2 linked regions of the Caenorhabditis elegans genome follow. The protein of the gene in region 2 interacts with the protein of the main gene of each other region in a pairwise test. Each region holds a gene or a part of one and is shown on either strand. Other genes may lie near its edges.

Evidence for each region. The genes of interacting proteins can lie anywhere in the genome.
Region 1: the proteins of C17H12.8 (region 2) and thoc-2 interact in a two-hybrid assay, tested with the Caenorhabditis elegans proteins (one large-scale study listed by BioGRID).

What each region holds. Positions count from the first base shown.
Region 1 is NC_003281.10:6,366,163-6,374,068, reverse strand, and holds thoc-2 (THO complex subunit 2), read right to left. Parts: upstream 6,028-7,906; 5' UTR 6,024-6,027; coding exon 5,928-6,023; intron 5,880-5,927; coding exon 5,748-5,879; intron 5,547-5,747; coding exon 5,455-5,546; intron 5,409-5,454; coding exon 5,189-5,408; intron 4,969-5,188; coding exon 4,786-4,968; intron 4,736-4,785; coding exon 4,583-4,735; intron 4,535-4,582; coding exon 4,030-4,534; intron 3,802-4,029; coding exon 3,400-3,801; intron 3,087-3,399; coding exon 2,267-3,086; intron 2,219-2,266; coding exon 2,110-2,218; intron 2,068-2,109; coding exon 1,929-2,067; intron 1,881-1,928; coding exon 1,021-1,880; intron 966-1,020; coding exon 585-965; intron 519-584; coding exon 297-518; 3' UTR 165-296; downstream 1-164. Other genes in the region: C56G2.15 (N-acetyltransferase domain-containing protein), read left to right, coding at 6,247-6,321, 6,414-6,553, 6,738-6,975, 7,176-7,376.
Region 2 is NC_003282.8:6,817,175-6,821,096, reverse strand, and holds C17H12.8 (CUB-like domain-containing protein), read right to left. Parts: upstream 2,381-3,922; 5' UTR 2,373-2,380; coding exon 2,321-2,372; intron 2,267-2,320; coding exon 2,160-2,266; intron 2,060-2,159; coding exon 1,947-2,059; intron 1,490-1,946; coding exon 1,371-1,489; intron 1,325-1,370; coding exon 1,212-1,324; intron 1,164-1,211; coding exon 807-1,163; intron 736-806; coding exon 550-735; 3' UTR 522-549; downstream 1-521. Other genes in the region: C17H12.6 (CUB-like domain-containing protein), read left to right, coding at 1-7; C17H12.5 (Tyrosine-protein phosphatase domain-containing protein), read left to right, coding at 3,520-3,527, 3,626-3,922.

The DNA.
Region 1 (7,906 bases), on a different chromosome or scaffold from region 2:
CAAGTAAAGGGCTGTTCCCATAGATTGGAAGTCGTTCGGAAATTTGACGTTGTCTTTTGCTCACATTTAGCACTTGATCTTCGACTTTTGGATTGACTCTTCGAGCAAGCATTCTATATTCGAAATACTTCCATTGCTTTCACATTCCAAGAAGTTCAACGATCCAATGTCTTTAGATTTAATGCTAACAAAAAATAAAACGAATATTTAATAATCCATCAGGATACAATAGAAAACCTCGTAGACAACATAAACTGAGATACAATAATGAAAATCTGGGGATATGTGGTGAGAGCTCATCTAAATGTTCGATGCCCACGATCTCTTCCACTCTTTCCAGCATCACGTGCAGGCTCTGCTATTCTTGATGCCTTTGGAAGTTCTTCTTTTTTTTCTTTTCGATCATCTTTGCGATCTTTTCGAGAGGACGATGTTGATTTTGAAGGCTCCTCTAGATCAAACTCAATCGCTTTTCGAGAGCCTTTCTTGTCATCTTTCTTGGGAACTGGGTCGGGAAGCTGAAATAAATCACATTTTCGAAAGGAAAATTTTGAAAATAGCTTGAGAAAACGTTAATATCTTACCGCGGGTCCTGCCACTTCAAGCTTCTCATCGGACGGCTTGCTTTTTTGCTTCTGATCTTTGAGAATCTTTTGTTCTTTCTGGTTTTCTCCATTTTCTCGCTTCCTTTCCTTATCCTTTTCTCGTTCCTTATTATCCTTCTCCAACCGTTTCTCTTTTCCTGTTTCTTTGTCTTTCGATCGTTCTCTTCTTTTCTTACCTTCTCCTTTTTCAGATTCTGTGTCCTTCGGAGATTCTTTCTCATCTTTCTTTGAAGGTTCATCAGACCGTTTTAAGCGATCAACAATTCGAGTCTTCTTTGCAGGAGGGGGACTTGGAGTCTTCACTTCACCATCTTCAGTTGTTGGCTCTTTCTTTGATTCTTTTGATCCGTGGGATGATTTCTAAAATTATAATAGTTAGTTCAGTTCTGTGAATTTTAATAATTTATGTACTCACTCCAGGTCGCTTCTTTCTCTCTTTGTTATCTACTGTAGCTTTCTTCTCTGTTTCACTTCCATTCTGATGTACTTCATCATCTTTCACCACTTTCTCCGAACTCGTCGTCCCATTTTTCTTCGAATCTACTTTAATCTTCTTATCAACTGGTTCCCCATCAGCTTTATCTTTCTCATCTACCACTTTTTCTTTTTTCTTTGGTTTTTCAGCACCGACCGACACCTTCTTGTTGGGAACTGGGGCGTAATCCGAATTTTGAGCATAAATCTTCACAGTTCTCATCTTGAGCTTTCCAACATACGAGGCTGCTTTTAATGATAGATCGTCACGTTTTCCCTTCTCTCGATCCTTCAACTTGGTTACAGCTGTTTCCATTGTGGCGACTGCATGTGATATGACTGGAAATCCAGATGTCAACTTTGTCATCATAATCAATGAATTTCTGATAAGTACATAGTCAGCATCATCTTTTGTGAAGACTGTCTTAAACATGGCAGTAAATCGAATTTGCCATCTATAGCATAACTTTCGGAAAGTTTGATATTCAATTGCTTGTTTTGTGATCATTCCTGGAAATCCTGCACATTCCTTCTCGAAAACTTCTTTCTCCGAGTGCCATCTTTGAACAGTGCAGAGCAGAATTTCAAAGAAGCATGCCAGCGAGTTGGCTTCGTTCTCGGTGAGCCCCGCGATCAGAGGAATTATGTTCTCGAAGAGTCTGTCAATGATCAGAACCGATGGGAAGAATGGAGTCCGCATTTCGTGAAGCATCATGAAGAATTGACCACAGAACACTGCATCAAGTTCGGAGAATATGGCACGTGGCAGGAGGCATTGTTGAATGAGAGCTTCCAATACAGCTGGAAATATTGGAAAAGTATTAAAGCGGATTTCATGCATAAACTTACAATTATGGAATTGCTCATCAATCAACGAGTCTTTCTTGTTCAGAAGCCATACTTTACAACGTTCCACGTGCTCAATTTGCCTCTTCTGCTCTTCTCGAAGCTTACTCTCCAACTGTTTATCAGTTTTCTTAGCTTTTCCCTGAAATAAAAAATAGTAGATTATTTATAGATGAAAACTAACATGACTGTCTTCTCTTGACTGTTTCTTTAAAGCATCAAGTGTCCGTTCATATGCAGCTGTCGGAACTTCGATATCATACATTGTCAGCATCCAGAAAACAGCGAAGAATCTGAAAGAAAAATTTAGCAAACTGGGCGAAAATTTGATAAAAACTCACTTCACAGGTATATTCTCCTCCATGCCAGGTTCAGATGCTTTCAGCTCATCCATTAACATTTCCACTTGTGATTCCAACGCACTTGTAAACATTTCAGTCTTTTGCTGTGTATCCAAACGAGTCTTTTGTCCATCTTCAACAGCAGCTTTCGAGATTTTTTTAGCCGCATCATAGTGATCTGATATTCTTGAGAAGAAAATAGGTCTCGCCAGACACATTGTGGCTTCCATTCCAAGTGAATAATCAGATAACAATTCACGAACAGTTGGAACTCGTTTCGAAAAATCATCATTTTTCAGATAAACACTCAAAAATGAAACGAGTTGTTGAAATGTGTCACTACACTGATCAACCATTTTTCCAACAAGTTTCAATGGAAGAGTAGAGCTTTCATTGTAGACAATATGCTCTTTTTGTTGAGCAACTGAAATTGCCAATCCAACAGCCAAATCTCCTTTCAGAAGTGCATCACGTAGACGTTGAGCAGCTTTTCTATTCTTTGTTGCCGTTGAATATCCACCAGCTTCCTGTTTCAACAAGTCTCCACCTCCAAGTGCTTCAATTTGTTCTTTCGTTGCTCCACTGATACTCTCGATCCATGACATATTCTGGATAATTTCTCGAAGAAGAAGCATATCGTAACTTTTGCAAAGTTTCAATTGATTTAGCACATAGTCTAGCATTCCGTTCAGTTCGAGTGGATATCTTCGATAGAGAGATCCAACCAGTGTTCCAAGAGCTTGCAGCCAAGGAGAGATGGTAGCATCAGTGGATTTGAGAGCTTGTTTCGATGGATCAGCCAATTGGGAGATGATGCAATCTGGAATAAATGGAAAACCTTCAAATGAGAAATATTTAAAATAGATTTGAAAAAGTTTGACTTGTTTACAAGTGAATGAAAAAAACGAGAATTTTTTCACATAGCTAACTGAAAGACTCAAAAATTTAAAATGTATCAATTTTTCCATAAAATTTTTTTATGAATTTATATGTTAAAATCTTAAAATTTCTCAAAAAAAAACGTTCGAAATTTACAAAACCTTTCAGTTTTCGTGGTTTTAACAAAATAATTTTTTGGACGTTTTTTCTCGTTTTCTAAAAAAAATTGTTTTAAATTTTGTTTGAAAACTTACAAGTGAGAACATCAAATTCAAGACTTGTCAAATATCTCAAACTATCCACAACAGGTCCAATGAAATTATCAAAAGTTTGCACTTGACTGAGGAGATATGAGAGTACTGTAGATGGATGTATATGACACAATTTTCCCAATTGTCTGCCCATCATCTTTACAGTTTCCTTCGAAAGACGCTTCAGAACATATTTTGTTCGTCCATGAATTTTCCCCTTCATTATATGCATTTCTGGATGTCTTGAAGTTTCAAGATTCCATTTTGAATACATCCAATATCTCCAAGAATACGGGAAAAGCTCAAGGAGCTGCCAAATCTCTTCACTAAGTGCAACATTTGTTTCGGACAGTGTGAGAGATGGTAGAAGACATTCGGAGACGACTTCCACGAAATTTTGATTTACTGAAATAATGATATTTAATTTTGAAAATGGTTGTTTTTTTTTCTTCAAAAATACGGTGCTCGATCTCGAAGTGACAGATTTACATAAATTTTAAAAAAGTACAAAAGTACAAGGAGTTCTGTAGATACGAACTAATTTTTCCTAGTTTTTATCGTTTTTTCAAAATGTTTTGTTAACCTTAATATCGGGGCGAAAATCGCAAAATTTCACATTTGAAAAAAACCTACGTTTATCATCCTTCGGTAGCAGATCCTTGTCAACTTTTCGGTAGTAGGCAGTCAAAAGTCGAACAATTTTGATATTTGTTGAAGCACGAAAGGCTATTCTAGGTCCCAAATAGGCAAGTACACTTGACAATTTTCCAAGATCTTCCCAACTTTCGATTGGTCTTAATCCATTTCCCATATCATCTAACACTGGTTTCGTCGATTTTATCAAATCTCCAAACAAGTTCAGCGAACAATTTTTCTTGTAAAAATCGTTAATTGATTTCTCAATTATTTTGCAAAGAGCTCTACAGAGTCGTGGACTAGCTTGAACTGCATAGTATTCTGGGAGACGATCAATGAGCATTTGAGCTTGTTTCCAGTTTCCACTTTCTAATAATGCACACGTTAAACCAAGCTTCTGATTTGATGAGAGAACATATTCCTCATTAAACCCTTCAGATAATTTTATATCCTCGTCTTCTTGAAGTTGGATTACTGTAGTGAAGGAAATCGTTTGCGTTGTCTGAAATGTTTTTAAAAATTAGATAAATATTCAATTTTCCGACCTAACCGCATTTCCACCTATTCCATTTTCATCGAAACCTCTTGAATCCATAATTGGCATTGAAGCTGTAGAAATTGTTTCTGCTTTTGATGCTCTTTCTTGTGCATTCTGCATTCTTGAACGGTGCCCTTCTTTAATTGCTTCGGCTTTTGGAATCATCTATAAATATTAATTAATAATTTCGAATAATTTAAAACGGGACTCCTCACATATCCTAAAATCTTCATCATATCGATCATTTCATGTTGAATGAGCGAAGCTGTCAGAACGTACAACGAATATGGCGTTTTCTTCTTTTTATCCGATTGATAGAATGTGAATTTGAAGCCCAGAAGTGCACACAGATAGTCACGGACCACGTCAATTTCTTTGAGAAGTGCAATGAAAAGGAGCTGAAATTAAAAATAAATATTTTTAAAATACAAATGAGCTGGATTCGTTTCAAGATTTCTTAATCTCATCATTTGAATTTCCAATTGTTTTATTTGTAAAGGATAAACGGAAAAGTTATAAATTCCAATTTTTCTCTATTGTTGAACTTTCAAATAAGCTCCGCCCACATCATGGTTGACCACCAAAACATCATGAATTTATGCAGATTCTTTATTTTACCTTCTGCCTCGGGAAATTCTCGAAAACTTCCAATATAACGTCAGTGACACGATTTGGATCCAAATTGAACTGTCCAATTAATGAAAGTACTCGATGCTTCAGAATCTTCGCATGTTCATTCTCATTCGCTGAGCTCTCGGCTGCTTCCATAAGCTCTGTGACAAGTTTTGAGTAACCTTCAGACTCTTCTCGAAATAAGTTGAATTTGGCCTGTTTGAAACTGAAGAAAAATGAGTTTTTGCAGAAATTGAATGAATTTAACTTACTAGACTTTTGTTTTCAACCTAATTAGTGCCTTGCTGTGATCATCTTTTTTGAAACAATCCAGCTCGAGGCGGAGGATTTCTTCGGGGATTATCTGAAAAAAATTTGGTATTTTTACAGGAAATTTCCAGTTAAAATCTCATTTCTTTGTTAAACAATTTTGGATTAAGTTAGAATATTAGTTTTTTTCAATCCTGAAACTACAGGTTAATTTTATTTTCCGCCAATAATACTATCTTCCATATAAATAAGCCTTTTTTGAACCTTGAGCTTTAAAAGTTGAAAGTTTTATTACCGTGTTAGTGAGTAGATTCACAAAGGATTCAAAATTCTCTTTGGAAGTGCTCGCGTTGTCAGCGAACTCGCTCTCCGGCTCGGTGAGCACTAACACGTCGATCAGCTCCGAACTGATGGCATCTCGATCTTTCTGAAATTAATGATTTCTAATTTGTTCAAGATTTTAAATGAACGAAACCTTCTCTGTGAGTATCCTTTCATAAGCCTTCATCGGTGTGATTTTCATGTGAACAATATCGAGACATAACTGGGTTAATGTTTCGAAATCGTTCATTTCTCTGTAATTATAATAATTCAATCAGAAACTAAAAAAAGAACATTAAAAGGAAATATGAGATTTCAAAAATTAAACTTTTTAAAGCGAGTTGGCACTTTGCCAGCCGAGGCAAACAAGAGTGAGAACGCGTGGACGGGAAATCTAGAGTTGAGATTTCTAGGCCATCGAGTGTGATGAGGGCATCTGAGCTCAGAAACATAACCAATTATCGGGTATTAGGATGCCGGACTTATTTTTTGTTACGCTTTATGATAGGCAGGATCTTTTGAAGGAGAGTATGACATTTTTGAATTCGGTGAGTTGTATTCTAGAGTGGTTTTCTAAATGTATTTTTTCTTTGGTAAAATAAATAGCTATATTCATAATTTTGAACTTTTCTAATTCCAGGAATGGCCCAGAAGCGATGGATCTCGTGAGCATTCACAGAAAAAATCATGCCGTCAGTCCCCTCCAATGTCGTTTTTGTTGCTCAATAAGGAGAATGACGAGATACTAGGCCACTCAAGAATCACACATCTTCCAAATCGGTGAGTAATTGGAATAAAACAATAAAAATTTGAAACTTTCGGATTATATTTCAACAATTAGAAAATTTGATAACTCACTAAAATTTCAGGAAAAAATATTTAAAAAGTTAAAAAATTTTAGCCTGAAAATAAAGGAAGCTATCATAATTCTCAAACCATTCTCCCAAAATTTGTTAATTTTCAGTGACCATGCCTTATGGATTGAGTCAGTGATGATCAAGAAGGATCAACGTGGCCTTGGACTCGGGAAATTCTTAATGAAATCCACAGAAAAATGGATGACGGAAAAAGGTTTCAATGAAGCATATCTCTCAACTGATGATCAATGTCGATTTTATGAATCTCTTGGTTATGAGAAATGCGATCCGATTGTACACTCGACAACAGCCACTTGCATCTTTCCAGCCATGAATCATTTTCAGGTAAATAGGCTTTTGAAGTTTTCAGAAATACTAAAAAATCATGTTTCTTGAAAATTCACAAAACTATACTCAGATCAATCTGATTTAGTTCGGAAATTTTGGAGATCCATCTTCAGATTCAGTCTAGAAAAATTGAATTCCTTAGTAGAAAATGCACAATTATTCAGATTTTTCTATAATTTATATCATGTTAATTTCAGAACGCGGCCGCATCCAACCCGTCCTTCCTATCAAAGATCGCACAGCCTTCAGCCTCGTCAACAGTCTCAGCTTCTGCTCCACCACCACCACCACCGCCTCCGATGGCTCCAAAAATGGTCACCAGATCCACGTCCCCGATTGTGGACGTCAACACGATTGATCACCAGTACATGAGAAAATGGTTAAAACCAACTGAATAATATATTGAGAAAAGAATACGCAAATATGAAATAAGAATTTCTACTTTTTATTGATTTTCCGCATAATGTAAAGTAATTTTAAGAATTACAAGAATAAAATAATTGAATGAGAGGGCGTGGGTGTGTTTTCTTAAAAACAACAACGAGTGAAGGGGGAATTACAGAAAAAAAGAAATAAAAAATGGGATAGAGATGGGGGTGATAGGTGGAGATGAGGGGATATGAAAGGTAGAAGAACCTGGTAAAATGGTCTGACGGGGCTCAAAGGGAAATGGGGCTCAAAACCAAAAAAGAATAAAAAGAAATTACCTAAATGAGAGAAGAAAGGCTACTAGACGATCTGTGTTTGTTGTGGGGAGAGGAGGCATGGGAGATAGTGGATAAAAACGATGATGAAGCTAACAAAAATAAAAACGAGTTGATAGAAAAAATAATGGGTCGCCTATTGCGAAAACGGTTCAGATTGGGAAAACAACAGTAGGTACAAAACAGCCATTCTGTGCATGTATACAAGGAATCATTCTGTGAAT
Region 2 (3,922 bases):
AAGATAATTACAATAAATTCTATATAATTTCGCTAACGTTTCACAAATGTCAAATATTTGCAAATGTTGTGTAAAAGGTGGAAGTAACAAACTGTGGAGATATGGTCATTAAAAAGTAATTTTAATTTATATTGGTTGTTCCCGCAATTTAACGGAATCAGTTAATCGTTAATCGGTTCTATAAGAAACCAATTAAAACTCGAAAACGATAGTGATAGATCCCATACATACATAATTCAACATAATCTTACATTGCTAAATATAGGGATGTCAGAAACCGTGGTTTAATGCTACACAGCAACGGCTTCCGATATGTCTGCCTATCTCATTTTTCCGCATTTTTACGGGAACTTCGGCGGTTTTTAATTTGACAGTAGATACAACGTTAGACACAAAAATGACTATTTTATTTATTTGAAGAAAGCTTATTTTAGTTAATCAAATGCCTAAAATGTTTTTGGATGCTGTTGATAACCACCCAGACTCAAATATTGTGCACATGTTTTGTTTTGGAAAATATTATAATTGAAATTATTTATTGGACAACATTCAGTTCTGTTCAGGATATGGAGAAACGAGCTTGAAAGTTGCTGCACAGTTTTCCGCCACAATGCAGAATGATTTGTGGGTGATGTTTCTCGGATAATCATATACAGCTGTGAAGTCAAGATATACTTCAGATGATGGAGTTGGAGGATATTGAACTGCTCTCAGTACACAATTTGGTTCGTTGGTCTGAAAATTAATCTGATTCAATGGAACAGGAGATTTCTTTTTTTTTAATCCAAAGTATTCAGTTTTCTCACCTTCTGAACGTCAATCACTAAAACAATATCCTCCATTGAAATGACAGTAACTGCTTTCTTCTTTTTATCTCCAACAGTTGAATCCATATCCAATTGATTTGCTTGGAAATAAGTACTGAATGCAGTATATGAATCATATTGTTGAGCTTGTGAAAGTGGAACAAATGTAACAGAACTCTCTGATACTCTATTATCCAATCCAACAACAGTTAGGATATTTCCGGTGCTGATGTATCCTTGGTAGACAAACTTAGACATTCGGTAAACAGCTTTTGGGTTCTCAATGTATCCTTCAATTACAAAATAGTTATCGAAAATGTCACTGTACCAGCCGGAGTGAGCAATCGACAGTGAAATCTGAATTTTTTTAACTCAATACTTAAACTATTTCTGAATTCAACTCACTCTCTCATTTGAAATCATTGTCTGGGGTGTTCTGTAGGAATTGACTCGCAAATCGTTCAACATGAAATATTTCATATCGGGGTTTCCAAGATGAGTAACTGTTGTGTTCAGCACTAGAATAAATAAGTTTTTCATTAGTTTTAGTATTATTTTACTCACTTCTTTCAAAATGAACTACTATTCTGAATGATGAATGCATGTTTACACTTTTTGTGATCACTTGGAATTTTGTAGTCGTGTTTGGGAAAATGTAGAAATGGACAAATTTTGCAGATCGGCTGAAAACAAATGCGAAATTCGAAAAATTAGAAAAATTGATGGAGAGAGAAAAATCGAGCTTACAAACGACTAACTAGGGACTATTTTTTGGTCACCAGATAGTTATGGGTCGAATGATATATTTTCTGAAAGCTTGAGTCTCAAATAGTTTGAGGAAAGAAACTCAATTTGAATAACCTCAAAAATGACATGTCGTGAAGATTCAAATGTTGAACCTGTGTTTTCTTGAACACATTCCTATTTAAAACGTTTTTTTCTGGTTAAGACAGGTTTTATAAGTTTGAAATTTTCATAAACTGAATAGCATTAGTAGTTTTTAAAAGGCTATCATAATGACTGAAATTTTTGAAAATTGGAAGTTTGGGAGGTTAGTAATTTTTGTTTAATTTTAAGCTCGTTTTGTTGACGGAATAAAACATGCGTGCTTCTTAAAATGTTAAGAATAATAGGATTTACCTTGACACTATTGTTCTTGTTAATTGTTCGTCAATTACGGTAATCATGTCATTATTTCCATTCAATCCGTTTTCCAGTGTAACATGAGCATAAATCATTGGCGGTGCGTTTACCTGAAGGTTAGAAAAATTTGATTTTTGTAAGCTAGAATTTTGGAAGCGAAATTGAGAACTTACTTACTACTGAGCAACTCAAAAGAAACCAATAACTTACATTGTAGGTACAACTGAAGTTTGGTGGAATTTGAACTGTGTCATTAGCACCCGCTGGTATTGTCACAAACTCTCCAGCTATGATTGGCTCAGGGATCTGAGTACATTCTGAAAAATGTATAGTTAGATTTATAAGTCTTTCAAAAAATGTGTGTATCTTACCCAAAGCTGTTGAAACTGTGACAAGTGCAAGGAGCCAAAACGCTACAATCATCTTTGATGACAAAGTGGAAAGTAAATTATCAGATTGACTTTGAGCATTTATAGTAAAATTTATTAGCGTTATCACTGTATTCAAACGCAACACCCCCAGCTATTCTCGAGCTGTGATATCACTGTCGTGGAAAAATGATATCATTTTATTGACCTTCTTAGTCTATTGGTTTCTACATTTACAGATTAAAATTTTTCCTTGAGAACAATTGATAAGACCAATCGAGAGGACAAAAATTGCACGCACACTTAGTTTTGCAAGCAGATCAAAAATAAATGCATTTGAATATTTTCTAAAATTATTTCAAGGCATATGTCACTGTTAATCAAGATCGGCTGAACTTTTCTGTATGAAACCGATTTTTAAAATCATTCTCTAGGAACAAATCTGAAAAGTTATGTTGAAGACGAACGCCGGAACTCTTTAACTCGTTTAAATGATTTTTTTCCAAGTGCACAATTAGTTTCATCAATTCTAAGGTTTTGTAGGAAACGTCGTTTACTGCCTCCATATCAAACAGCACTCGCAACCTGTAAGATAATAAGAACAAACAAATCCATAACAACTTGTTGGGTTTACATATACATTATATACAATAGGCAGTCGAAGAGAACCCGCAAGGCTGTTTGGAAAAATTAAAAAATTTTCATTATTATTTCGAAAATCTTAACACTTTTTGGTCAAGTTTAGCGAAACCCCGTTTTTAGAGCAATTTTAGTGGTCTCCAAATAAAAAAACAATGGAAATCTGGATGTGTTGATTTCCCCACGCATCTGAAAATTCTTTTTTTTTCAATGTTTTAAGAAAGCGTTTGCGAATGCTAGTTTAATAGCTGGGGCAAATCATTAAAAAAAATTTGAAAAAGATGGTTGCGTAGAGATATACGCCTTGAACCAGTGAGCAATTTTATTTATCTATTCATAATTTTTTTTTAATTTAGTATAAAATTTACATAATTCATACTGAAAAAATAAATTAATTTTTTTGTCGTGACTTCTTATTTTTTTAAAAATAAAACACGTTCCAACACGTAAATTCTTATAAAAAAATACCAAAGTTTCAAATTGAACATTAGTTCTTAATTTCACAAGAATAGTTTCTTTGGTTTTCTCAAGAAAAACTTCTAGTCTACAAAGGGAAACGAAAGATGTCCACGTAAGTTATAATGCGGTTGTTTAATTTGAAGTTAGAGTAGTTAAAGTTATTATTTAAAGTTAGTCTTGCTATATAAATTTAAAATAAGAACATTTCAGAAAGGAAAAAAAGACTAAGAAACCGCACAATGTCAAGAGCTCGGTAGTTCCACCAAAAAAATGGAAAACCAAGAAGAAGGACAAGAAGGGGACCGGGAAGTTGCGCAAAACCGCTTCGAATGCAAGTTTGAAGAAGCATGGCTCCACACACAAGATTAAAAAACCAGAGGACATCACTTCCGATGGTTGCCCACTTCTTCTGACGGCTTCCGATACTTGTGCCAACATATACGCTGAACAGCTGTCCGCTCCGAACAATCTTAGTGCCAAAACTTCAACGCCGCATAAATCGATTGA